Coturnix japonica: one gene and its partner. The protein of the gene in region 1 binds, or shares a complex with, the protein of each later gene. Links are inferred from orthologs where the notes say so. Each region holds a gene or a part of one and is shown on either strand. Other genes may lie near its edges.

What was found.
Region 2: the proteins of SNTG1 (region 1) and TRPV3 are in contact, whole or in part, in a crystal structure (PDB 7QQN), measured with the Homo sapiens proteins. The link is inferred for Coturnix japonica from reciprocal best matches to the Homo sapiens genes SNTG1 and TRPV3. Residues at the interface, in NP_001274742.1 of Homo sapiens: Arg62, Gly66, Gly67, Phe68, Gly69, Leu70, Ser71, Ile72, Lys73, Gly74, His78, Ser85, Lys86, His118, Glu119, Val122, Arg126; in NP_659505.1 of Homo sapiens: Pro786, Glu787, Thr788, Ser789, Val790.

Annotation. Positions count from the first base shown.
Region 1 is NC_029517.1:98,329,600-98,336,346, reverse strand, and holds the start of SNTG1 (gamma-1-syntrophin), read right to left. Parts: upstream 3,731-6,747; 5' UTR 3,301-3,730; intron 1-3,300. UniProt on the Homo sapiens protein: Adapter protein that binds to and probably organizes the subcellular localization of a variety of proteins. May link various receptors to the actin cytoskeleton and the dystrophin glycoprotein complex.
Region 2 is NC_029534.1:5,449,645-5,455,837, forward strand, and holds part of TRPV3 (transient receptor potential cation channel subfamily V member 3), read left to right. Parts: exon of another isoform or gene 1-1,543; coding exon 1,544-1,648; intron 1,649-3,148; exon of another isoform or gene 3,149-3,149; coding exon 3,150-3,236; intron 3,237-3,335; exon of another isoform or gene 3,336-3,337; coding exon of another isoform or gene 3,338-3,342; intron 3,343-3,594; coding exon 3,595-3,752; intron 3,753-4,400; coding exon 4,401-4,577; intron 4,578-4,670; coding exon 4,671-4,811; intron 4,812-5,200; coding exon 5,201-5,481; intron 5,482-6,141; coding exon 6,142-6,193. UniProt on the Homo sapiens protein: Non-selective calcium permeant cation channel. It is activated by innocuous (warm) temperatures and shows an increased response at noxious temperatures greater than 39 degrees Celsius. Activation exhibits an outward rectification.

The DNA of each region.
Region 1 (6,747 bases):
AGAAAATGACTATATATGCAAATATCACTAACAGTGTCTCCACTGCATCCCCTGGTGTAGATTAGAGCAGTATATTTGAGGTATAATCTATTCTATTTTTTTTTAATGAGTGCTTTCTCTCCTTTCTCTGATCTGCAACAGGAATGCAGAAAAATCAGGTTAGCCGCAATGGCAAAAAGACTTTCAGACTCCTCTAGTTGTGGCAGGTAAAACTCAAGGTAAATACAGAAGGTCAGCTGTATAGTCATGCTGAGCCAATGTCACAGCAGACTGTCAGAAGAACACGTTGATGCAGCAGACTTAAATTGGGATTCAACCCACCCACATTCAGGTCTCTTGCTGGAAAACTTAACCGAAAGCACAGCCATGAGAAGGGCCATGAAAGACTGCATGTTAAACTTATCTAACACTTATTTTTTTGCTACAACTCCTTACCTTTTTAACAGTGCATGCAAGCAAACCTGGAGATGGCTATTGGTAAGGAATACTGATAGTGTTCATGGTGGCTCAGACACAAGGACCAGTGCTAAGTTACAAGCATGAAGAAATGGTGCTTTTCTGAGAAATACAGAGTGAAGAACTGAGAAGAAACTATTTTATAAATATAAATATATTTATATATTTAAGAATCATAGAAAAAAACATAGTCATCTGTTTTGGACTGACAAGCAAAACCTTACTGAACTGTTGATAATGTTTAATTTTGCTTACAGGGCTTTCTGTCAGTTGATGCAAGTTATGCGTGACAAGCCAAACAGCACATCTGAGCAAATATGGTGAGAAAAAATTAGGAAAGAAATGTAATATCTTAACCTGAAATCTCTGAATCAAGTCAATATCCTCTCTATTAAAAAGATCTGCATAACATTATAATAAAAATCCCTGCCACAGAGTTGAACGTGCTGTACTTTGGAAATCTCTAATTGAAAAAGGTACAAGCAAACTGTGATAAAGCACATTAGAGAGAAGGCTTGAAAGAGCTTTACAGTAAATGGTACAATGGACATTCTCTAGTTTTTAAAATTAAGAACTATACATAATTTAAACTGAAGTATGTGGAAAAGTTCCAAATCAAAGATAAAGAAAATATCTGAAGATAAAGGGTTTTGATCAGTATCTTAGAAGTCACTGCTTTGTAATTTTATCCTTAAAGACCTCATGTTCTACCTTCCCCCTTTCAAGTCCCCAGCATAAAAAGAAAGGTTTCCTTTTTCTACTAGATTCTGTGAAAACTTGGTTCTTCAGCCATGTAACAATAATTTCTCTGTAAGTGAAAGTCTAGAGCAGCATGTTCTTTAATTCGGTGACGAGGACCTTCATTAGATTATCTCATAGCTATTGGGCAAGATACTGCAAAAGCCAAATGATATATCAGTAAATTATGTTTTCTTCCTCTTGAGGCAAAGAACGAGTATAGCGTTTGATTAATTTGAAGAACTGAAAAGAAATAAAAGGGCTCCATAATCTGTATCAGGAGTGACAAAGCTGACACTATTTTTAAAACCCACTTATTTATAGAATCAACTGTAAGCAGTTAATTATATTAATTGTGGAAATCGCCACTACATTACATAGCCCAAATTAATTCAGATCAGTGCATTCTTCACTGTTTCGTGTTCTCCCTTGCACATGCCTAGTGAAAGCCTGCCACTCTGCAACAGAGGAAGGAATTACTACAACAAAACTGAAGAGCACTTTGTTAAAAATTGTACTTTGTTGATATGACGCAGAAGCTGTTTAAAGTAATGGATTGATTCGTGTCCCAATATCTTTCAACAGTTATTCTAATTGTGTTTCACTGTATCTTCAGGCAGTTAGAAATACAAACCACAGGAAAGCTATCCTGAAATTGCACTGAAACAAATGACATTCCCTTCTGCCTTCTAACCCACAGGGAGCTCCGTCCAGTTACCGGAAAGGCTTACTTTATCTTTCTGCTATAAACTCGAGTTAGTTACTGGCAAGTCAACAGCTTTTAATCCAGTTAGCTTAGCATCTATGTAAAAACATCTGTTGCAGCCCATTAGAAGATCTGCTCCTGTCAGCAAAGCAATGTGCCTTAACCTGAAGAGCTCCAAGACTGCCCCCAAACATCTTTTGCTACAGATCTCTCTGATTAGAAAAAGAAATATCCCAAACTCCTCAGATGTTTCATGCATGCTGACATTTCTGCAAGAGCTTCTAAGACCACAACTTATTTCTACCCTGTGGGTGAGCTATTTCTCCAAGCCTGTACACACACCATATACCTCTGCTGAAACTACTGCGTTCAACTGGCGCTGCCAGAGCTCTTAGTGAAGTGTCAGAGCTGAACTATAAATCTGTATAACTGCTTTTATTCTGTGATACTCCTGTGTTCGAACAGAACGTGCATCAAGGTCACTGTACAGAATTGTAGTTTTCAGGCTCAGAAAGAAGATGCTAAAGAAATCAATACCAGCAAACTTAATTAAACGTAGTCTGAAGTTCTGTCTGCTCCCAAATTGGCACAGGAATCATTTCTCTATCCCCTGCATTCCACAGGCAGGTGCTTTGTAGATAGGGGAAAGCAGGTTGTTAGCTTAAACACTATCTGTGCTGAACAGTGAACAGGAGGGTTTGTCCTCTGCAGCGTGACAGGTCTGTTCAGAGCTCTTTGAGGTTTTAGCAGGAGATCACAGACTCCTGGGCCTGTTCCTGTGGAGTTCCTCCAGGAGCAGAATTAGCCCCCTGCCTGCTGCCCATGCTCTGCATCCTGAACATGTCACGGTCAACTTTCTGTTTCATGGCACTGCCAAGTACGATAATAGGTAGCCACGGGTGAAAGCAAGCAAACAAACAAGACCGAATAAACCATATCCTCACAGCAAAAGCACCTCAGAGGAAATGCCCAGGTAGGACACCAGAAAGTTAAAAGCATCAAAATCAAAACTCCAGCTTTGCTATCTTAATCCCTGACAGGATCTGAAACGCTCACACGCAGCCTGCCGCTGCCAGAAAGCAATTAAGAGTCTCCTACAATTGAGTTACAGCCCAGCAGAAAGGAAAAGGCATTTCACACTAATTCCTGTAAGTCACCATTTGTTGCAGCTGTAAGCGGGCTCCCCGCACCCAGTGCTCCCCCGGCACCGCGGTGCAGCGCGTACCTTTGGGATGCGGGACCGCGCTCCCCTGCAGCCCAGCCCAGCCTGCCGGGAGACTGAACTCCAAACCCGGTGCAGGCAACCAACAGCTGCAAGAAGTCACTCGAGATGCGGGGAGGAAAAAATATATATGCATATATATATTAAAATAAAAACATGAAAGAAAAGGAGCTCTTACTTGCCAGTACACGACCGCCGGGCGACCTCCTCTCAGCTGGTGAAACGGGGTGTCCCCGCTCGTCCTCCTCGGACCGCTCCGTGCTATTTCCAAAATATTTCCCCCGGGCGCCGGCACATCTCCGGGCTCACTAGGAGCGCGCAGGGAGCCCGTCCGCCGCGCCCCCGAGCCCGGTGCCCATGATGCCAGCCGCAGCCCCGGCCACTCGTGCTCCTTCCCTCCGGGGGCTAACACGGCATCACACCGATCTGCCGCCGCCGGCTTCAACTCCTCCGCTGCGCCGAGGGGCAACGAGGGGCTCCCCGCGCCCTTCCCGGAGACGGAGCGGGGCGCCGGGCGGGGGAGTACGGGGAGGCAGCGCCGCCCCTCCGCGGCGGCGAGCGGCCAGGCGAAGCGAAGCGAGGAGAGGAGAGGCGAGGCGGCGCGCCGCCGCCACCGCGGCCGCAGCCCGCCGCGGCGATGCCGGCCCCGCCCGGGACCCCCGCCCGCCGCTCCCGGGGCGCTCTGTGACGCCGCCCCACCGATGCTGACGTGCGGCCCTCCCCCGAGCCGTCCCCTGTGGCGGAGCTGGAGCTCGCCGGGACGCGTGGAAGCCGGGAGCAGTGTTCGGAGAAGGGATGCTGCCCTCCTCCCACCCGCTTCAAACTTCCCGTGCAGTTTCTACTGAGCGGGTACAGAGCGCCCGCTTGCCGGAGAGAAAACATATCGATCCCTATCTCAGTGTTGTGATGGGTTTATGATTCTCACAGAGTCTCTGTCGGCCCGGGTGCGACATCCCCGCTCATTGGAGTCAGCTCCCGGCCCCTGCTCGGGGCTCAACGCGGGGCGGCTGCCGCACACAGCGCCCCGTAGCGCAATGCTACCGCGGGGCGGAGGCGGCACAGAGCGGGGAAATAAACCTCGGGAGAGAAAAAAGGGAACCCCGGGGAGCCGCCTCTCTGCGCTGGCTGCGGGCGCGGGGGAGGAATCACGGTGCTGCCCCTCCCCGGCTTGGGGCTGAAGAGGTCGTCGGGGGGCTCTGCCAGGCGGGGTGGTGAGAGCAGCCGTGGCCTTATCCGCATCCACGTGTTGCGCTATAGCCGAGCGGAGGGTGGTCACAATCGGAAGCCGGGTGAACGGAGCTTAAGCGTTGTTCTCCCGCAGCTGCTCTGCTCGCCCTTTTAGTCTCCACATGTTTCTTAGGCTTTGTAATTCCTTTAGGAATCTTGTGCTCTTCTTCCACAGAGCTGGTGCAAACGAAAATGTTTGTGTTCCTTCTGAATCGCTTTTATAAATATTAACTTCAATAAAGTGCAGTGAGCCATTGAGAGGGAAAAGGATTTTAAAAGCTTCGTGAAAGCTACATGCAGATGCTCTGAAGAATGTAGTTAAGTGTTGACTTGATAAATGCATGAGAATATGCAGTGATAAGTTTCATGCCTAATTGAACAGATTTGTACTTCAGTTCTCATCTAGAGATACAGATCCTTATTTTTCTTCTTTTCTTAATACTGATTGATGTTAACAGAGTTCTTGATAGCTACGAGCTAACCAAGTTATCTGCCCTTTTGTGGCTCTGCTGAAAGATTGAGTGGTGTGAACTGACAGTTCTCCTGACAAGACTGGAAAGAAATGACTACAACAATACATATATTAGAGCTGGGATAATTTAAACACACGTCTGAGAATTGAAATAACTGAAATGTAATTGATTGAAAACTCTTCCATGTCAAACACGGAAATAGAACTGTAACCCTGTGCTCACACATTGTGGAGAAGATCAACGCAGCCCTTGAGAGCACAGTGTTTAAACCAAGTGGATACAAATAGTCCATTAACTGCTAGACCCAATCCCACACTTGATTTCCAATTCCTCTTTCTTGGAGACCCATCTCTTTTGTCTATGTCACAATGAAGAGTAAGTCTGTGTAAGCAAGAAAGATTCATTTTTACAAGAGAATGGTGTTAAAATTATCATGGCAAGATCTTTTAAACTCTTACCATGTTTATAGAGCACATAGTTACAATACAACTACTGCCAGTTACAACTTTTGTTAGAAGTCAGAATGTGCTGAAGATGAACTCTAACAAACCACACGAACATTGTAAAGTTGATGCCACATGATTGTATGAAATATGTCTGGCTGTCAGTTTTAAACAAGATTAGAAGGTTAGTTTTGTATTGCATTGTTGCTTCAGGCAGTGCAAACACAACGCGGAATTCTTACATCAGCAGAAATCATATTTCAGGACCAGAACATGACCGAACATTAAAAATCAGAGTGGGTGAGCCAGAATTGCTTTTGTGTTGTCTGTGCAATTTTCATTAAGAAATGTTGGATAACAAGCTAGTAGTGGGCTGCCATCTGTGGTAGGTTCTGCAGCATTAGCGGACTGACACCACAAATGTCACTAACGTGGATGGAGGGACAGAGGAGAAGAAGCGTTAAGAGGGAGTGAGGGTTAAACATAAAGAATAAATGGCATTGTTCAAAAAAAAAAAAAAAAAGAGAAAGAGAAAGAAAAAAAAGAAATGTCACCCAACAAGAAAGCAAATCATATCCTCTGTAAAATTACACAGACTATCTATCTATGAGAGACTGTTTGTCCTCTTTCCATTTAGCAACATTACAGCACCCAATCTTTCTGGCTAAAGTATACTTCACTTTGATTGTAGGCAGTGATTCTTACATTTACCCATCTGCACTGGTGCGTATGTCCATTCTACAGCACCCTCACCGGGGAAGATCTGGAATTCAAACAGGTGAAAACTGAGGCCTAGAAAAAGTGCACGGGGAAAAAACCTACTTTAGTAATGGAGAATTAAGATGAACATATAAGAAAAGATGTTGTAGAGGATTTGAAGAGTGATGGGAAAGCCCTTATATCCAAAATCACTGCAGCAGTTGGTTTTCACTCACATCTTAGAACAGCTGAACTCATCCCTGTTACCTATTCTTTCCTTGACAGAACCTAGTTCATTGCTAATTTGAAGTCATCAGCAATATCAAATACACTCTAGTCTGCAAATGAAGGCATGAAACCAGGCATGGTTGATCTTTGCTGACAAATACTCTTTTAGAATTATGAAGATTTATTTTTAACTCTTAGATAATAACAAGTCTTGTTCTGTTCCTGAAAAAATGATAAAGGGACACAATCAGTCTGTAAGCAGAATCTTAACTGGTGGAAGTTAAACTCTTAGTACTGATAGTTTTTTTTTCTTGACTCTATCAGAATAGAACTGATTTCTTTTCGATACCCACTTTTGGAAAAGAGAACAAGCAGAACTGCAAATGTAACTCTCACAGACAAGTATCACAGCTTTGATAATAAGTAAGTCACAAGGTCATCTATGAGCATCTTACTATTGCCACTCCCTATACTGAAATATAAATGCCCATTTTCTGACAACTTTCTATTATTTTTCATTTCTGTTCACAGGCTGATAACAATCCCCACAACTGA
Region 2 (6,193 bases), on another chromosome or scaffold:
GGCAAATACTGCACTTAATTACTTAATCTCCTAACTCCCATTCTGCTTTGTGGTATCAGTAACAGTAACCCTGGGGGTTTGCCATCTCTCAACCAAGAGCTCAGGGTGTGGCCAACAACATTCCTGTAATAGAAGGAACGAAGATCACATGAATTTTAATGCAGTGGTTTAACGTGTTCTATTAATTACATGTTTCTAAGCTGCTGTACTTCTGTGGGTTCAGAACTTTTCCTTCTGGCGTATGGTGCCACTGCGCATCCAGTGCAGCTCCATGGGTAGCATTTCTCACTTTGACAAGTATTGTCAGTATATACTTGAAGAAAATATATTTACTTCCCATTCCTGAAGCCCCTGGTGTCTGAGTGTACCAACAATATGTGTACAGGAAAACCAAGAGACAGGATGGGAGGAGCACTGCCAGCATTGTCAGAACCTGATAATGTCTGTGGGCAGAGCTTCTGACAGTGTGCACCATGGCCACGTAAGCACTTGGGTATTTTTTGGTAATTGTCCACTTGCTTTGCTTGGTGGATCTTGCTTTTTATTCTCCTTGTGGTATCCCCAGATAACCCACATGTTGGCATAGGGTGGGTATGTTGGTTTCCAAAACAGGCACCACTTCATAGCTGCTGTACAACTACTGCATGCCAAAATCTTCCTTGTGAACACAGTGCTGGGAGAGATACCAACCTGCGGCACAGCGCTCCTGGTGTGAGCAGCTGAGACAGCCCAGCTGAGCCTGAAGAGCAGCACTTCTGGCTTTCTGGAAATGCACTGTAGCCTCCAACAGCTTTTTCCTGTTGGGGCAGATCCTGCACATTATAGTCAGGGAATGCAGAAAGCAGCATGAATCCTGGGCATTTTCACTCTATAGTCTTTCTGCCAAGCTGAGATCCCATTGAAGCAACAGTGATTTACAGCAGCTGTGAGTGTGGCAGAAATGATGGCAGTGATCCTCATTCTGTCCAGACTTTTCCTGTACTCTGAGGAGCACCCCATGTGTAGGTAATTGCAGGGATGCTCTGCTGACACATCTCAGATGTTAAAAGGTCGTGGAGTTTAAACAGCTACACAGAGTGAAATTAACACTTGGATTGCTGTCTATCACTGCTGACGGGTTTGGAGTGATCTACTGTGATGGCTGCTGGCTGGAGAAAGAGGGACTAAAGGTAGTAGATGAAGAAGCATAAGTGTGTGTGTGTGAATGTTTATCCGTCTGTGTCTGGTGCTGCATTCAGCTGTGGGCACAGAAGTGAGGCTCCTTCTGGGCTGCTGGTGTCGATGTTCAGACATGTCAGGATCTGATGTTGTGCCCTCTAAAAATATCTCGGGATCTTTTGCCCATCTGCCAACATGGAAGTTTTCAACTGAGGGCAGAGGCTGGGATCCTTCCAGGGAAAAGCAGCCAGCATTCTGTTAGACAGGTATGAGGGCAGAAAATATTGTCAGTGTTGTTCCAGGTACTTACAGGTATAGAATTCTGCACTTTATGGTTGAATTTGATCTTTTTACTAATAACTTCTCAATGCAATATGTTCAACAGTTCACATTTTTTTCTGGAGATCGAAGGATTTGAAAGCAATGCGACTCCAAATAATACATCTCCCCCTGTGTTTTCCAAACCAATGGATTCAAATATTCGTCCATGGTAAGTTATTGATGCATGTACAACAGTCATTCTGCAAGTGTATCTATTTCATTCTCAGCAGCTGCTCCTTCTCCCTCCTTAGAGCTGAAATTTCACATGGTTTTATGTAGATTTTGGTCACTTCAAGGACAGAGATTTGTTGTTGTTGTAGTTCAGTTGTTGCTGGGTTATTTATCTGTATATACTTCTATCATTGACACTGAATAAATCAGGCCTCAAATACGAATACATTTAAAATCAATGCTAACTTTTCTTTCCTAAGCATCTGTTATTTGTGATAGATGGGGACAAACTCCACGCACCCAATTTTCCGATGCAAAAACAGCAGTTGAATTTAGCAGGCCGTGTTCCCAGCTCTGTGTGCTGCCATCCTCGCTCTGCTGTTCATTAACAACAGAACAACATGTAGATATTGAGTCTGAGATATTTAAGGCAGTTATTTATGCTGAATGAGTAGAGAAAAATGATGAGTAGAATGCACCAGATATTTAAAAATGAAATGGTTCTGAATGCCAGAATTATGAATTAGGGAAACATGAATCAAATGGAGAGTAAGCTCAGAATTATCAATTGTTTCTGTGTTTGAGAGGTGACTGCTCAGCTTCCTGCAATTGTTGATGGTTTTATTGTTGTATCAGAGGAAATGTACCCGAATTTTTCCTTCTCATTCAGGAACAAACCTGCATGAGCCGCACATGCACTTTGTCACTGGGTTTTCTGCAGAGAAGTGATGGTCTGAATAAGAATGGACCCTGAGCTTCCAGCTTTGTTTCAAATAAATATCTGCAGAGCAATGTTGAATCCTTGCATTCTGTCCATACATCCATCTTGCCAATAACTCAGAATCCAGGCTCCCTAATTTATTGACCTGTGAGAGTTCATCAAATCCAAACCCCATAGAAAACAAAAATACAAGTGAGAAAAACGACTGTCGGTCAATTCTGCTGTGAGATCTGTACTTGGGAATGTCTAGAAATGCCATACAGAAATTCCATAATACCAATGCCACTGAAATCCTTTAAATTTATTACCTAAATATGCAGATAGGGCCCAGGCTTTAGTTTCTTTTAGCTGAAATCTCCATTCCAATCAGCTGCAGAATGTTCTTGAGTTGCCTGCAGTGCATCATGTAGTAAACCTTTAAATGACATTCATTGTGTGCAACCCGTGCAGGATTACTGCTTTAACTCCTGCTTTGTGGTAGGGGACAAATTAAGTCCATGAGGAAGATGGTGCATTTCAAGGTGCAACACTGAAGATGTTGCACAAAAGGTGGTAAACACTGAAGAAAAAGATCCCGCAGCTTCAAGATTTCAAATGAAATAATGCAGAGTAAACACAAACAGGACTTTGTAAATATAATAAGATCCTGTGCATCTCTTCCTATTTTCCTCTCCTTTGAAGCAGGCAATCCTGGCACTGACTGGTTCTTAGTGCAGTTTGCCACAATGTCTTCCAGGACCTTCCTGTCTTAGCAGTGATGCTTTTCTTATTCCTACAGTGCATCTGCAAATGGGGAAGACATGGATTCCCCACAGTCTCTTCAGGACGACGTGACTGAATACAGCCCTAACGTAGACAGTTGTTGGTGAGTGGAGATGAGGAGTATTTCTTAGTGCCTTTTCTACAGCTGAAATCTACAATAGTGTAGATGTTACCAATTGTGCTTTCTTCTTTTTCTTTCCAGAAATGAGGTATAAATGCTTTTCTGGATCTTCAGTAATTAAACTTTGAAATAAGCAGCTGTAACCTTTGCTTTTTCAATAACATTTTCTCAGCAAATAAGCAATGTACAGAAACATATTGAGAGATCCATACCGGGACACCCATGTGGAAATGGGGCAAGTCAGTGTGGTCTGGTGCATGTTATTGTGTTTCCTTTTCCTCGTATGCAGAAAATAAAGAAGAGCGACTCAGCAATTTCATTATTGTTTTTGATCATTCAGTGCTAACGCAGCACAAGGACCTGATCAGACGAGAGCCCGGAAGAAGCTGAAAAAATACATATTTCGGGCAGTTTCTGAGGGGAATATTGAAGAATTGCAAGGTCTGCTCGCAGAGCTGAAGGAGCGATCAAATGTTTGTACAAGCATGACTGTGCCAGGTGAGCTGTGGAGTTATCTGATGACTCTTCTGCTGGCATTGCATGTGTGTTCTGCCAGGAGATACCTCAGTGCAGCCGTGACTGGTGTGTGAATCTGAAGTCGTTTGTTTGCAGTCAAATGGATGTCGTTTCTTATTTCTAAATGAAAGTGTATTTAATCAGCTGCTTCCTTGCTACCTCTGAAGCAGCACTGGGGGGTATTTGTCTCTTATTTATGTTACCCTGTGCACTGTATTCCCACAGCCATACCTGAGCTGGCTTCTGCAGCACGAGACTCAAAGCTGATGTGTCTGTTTATTCTGCAGTCAGTCTGGTTGTGGTACAGCCACAGTTTGTGAGGTGTGTAGCATGGCAGAGCAGGCAGGGAAGAAAAGAGCGTTTGGATCTGTCTGGAGTTACGGTGCTGGTGGAATAGCTGGAAAAGAAAGCAAACACACTGGCTGTCTTACTAACCACCAGCACAGCTCTGTATCATCTCACAAAGTACATATAGCTCAAACACAGAGTGAACGGGCAACTGCTTACCAAGTAATTTCTGTTGGTGTGTATCCCTCAGGTTCTTCTCCAAATAAAGATTCAAGCTATTTTCCATCCATTTAATAAATAACGATGGATGCCGTGATCTAATCCCAACATTTACTCTTACAGATTATCTAATGAAAAAATTCACAGCTTCAGATACTGGGAAAACTTGTCTGATGAAAGCTCTACTGAACATAAACAACAACACAAATGAGGTAGTGAATATGCTGCTATCCTTTGCAGAAGAAAATGGTATTTTGGAGAGGTTTATCAATGCAGCGTACACAGAAGAGGCATATAGAGGTACTGCTGTCTGAGACCATTTTCAGGCATGTGGCTGAATATGCCATCGGTAACATCAAATAATTAACGCTAAATACCTGTGTCTTGTTTCAGGTCAGACAGCTCTGAATATTGCCATTGAAAGAAGACAATTTGAAATCACTCAGACCCTCATAGAAAAAGGAGCTGATGTCAATGCTCACGCCCAGGGTATTTTTTTTAACCCCAAACATAAACATGAAGGCTTTTATTTTGGTAAGTAGAAATGGGATTTCTGCAGCAGTTAGGAAGGAATACCCAGAAAAGTAAGACAGCATAGAAAGCAAGCAAGTGTGGATCATTGCTGTCACTGAACCTCGATTATGGAACTTTTATCTCAGGACAGAAAAATGGCACGGTGCCTCTTGTAAAGAGATTTGCTCGAGTCCAATGTATTATTAACACTTGGATGTACTGGTAAAACAGCTGTTGAATGCTGAATGGCAAATTGTTTTAAAGGCTTTTCTAAACCAAGAGCTAAACCAAAAATAACCCATATTGATACATGCTTTTAAATATGAAGATATTTAATACGGTCATTCCTATAATAATAGTTTGATTGCTTGTAGTAAAACGTGAGTACATTTCATATTATAATTCTATAGGTGAAACTGCCCTGGCTTTAGCTGCGTGTACCAATCAACCAGATATAATCGAGCTGTTAATGGACAACACCAGGACCAACATTGCTTCTCAGGATTCCAGAGGAAACAACATCCTACACGCATTAGTTACTGTTGCAGAGGACTTTAAAACTCAGAATGACTTTGTAATCAGGATGTACGATATGATCTTGTTGAAAAGTAAAGACAGAAATTTGGAAAAAGTGAAGAACAAGGAGGGTTTAACACCGCTACAATTAGCTGCAAAAACTGGGAAGTTGGAGGTGAGTGTTATTTCAGTGGTATCTTTAAGTGTCAGGAAAGCATCCAGACTGACCATGTACACAGATGTCAGTGCTCTGTAATGCTGTTTTCCATGCTTGCTGTACTGTATACAAGTATTAGACCAGTTTTCCACTGAGCTAATTGGGTTCAAAACAAAAGCAGTGTTGCTTCTACCCTCCAAGGTTTTCCTCTAAGAATACCCCTCTGTAGAAAATATACACATGATATTAAAGGCAGCCTTCAAATCCTTTCTGTTGTACAGAAACTCAGAATACTAAATATTAATGTTAAATGATGAATTAATGAATGATGAATTCATATTAAATTAATATTAAATGAATGAATATTAAATACTCATTAAATATTACTCTTAGACAATACAAAATCTTCAGATCATTTTAGAAGACTTTCCAGGGCTGCTCTGTTACGCTGCTGTCGCATTTGTCCATCATAGATCATCTGTGTGTATGTGGTAATGAGCTGACAATGCGATCATTTAGAGAGTAATTGATTAAGTTATAAATGCGAACACCTGGAAAATTGTGCTCTCCTTCTTTAGAGAAAAAAATCTCTTTGAAAGAAAATCCCGAGACATTAAGAAAACTGTATTTATTCATTAGAAGTTTGTGATCTCCAACAGCATTTATTTAACGTTTCAGGTTCTGAAATACATCCTCAGCAGAGAGATAAGAGAGAAACCCAACAGAAGCC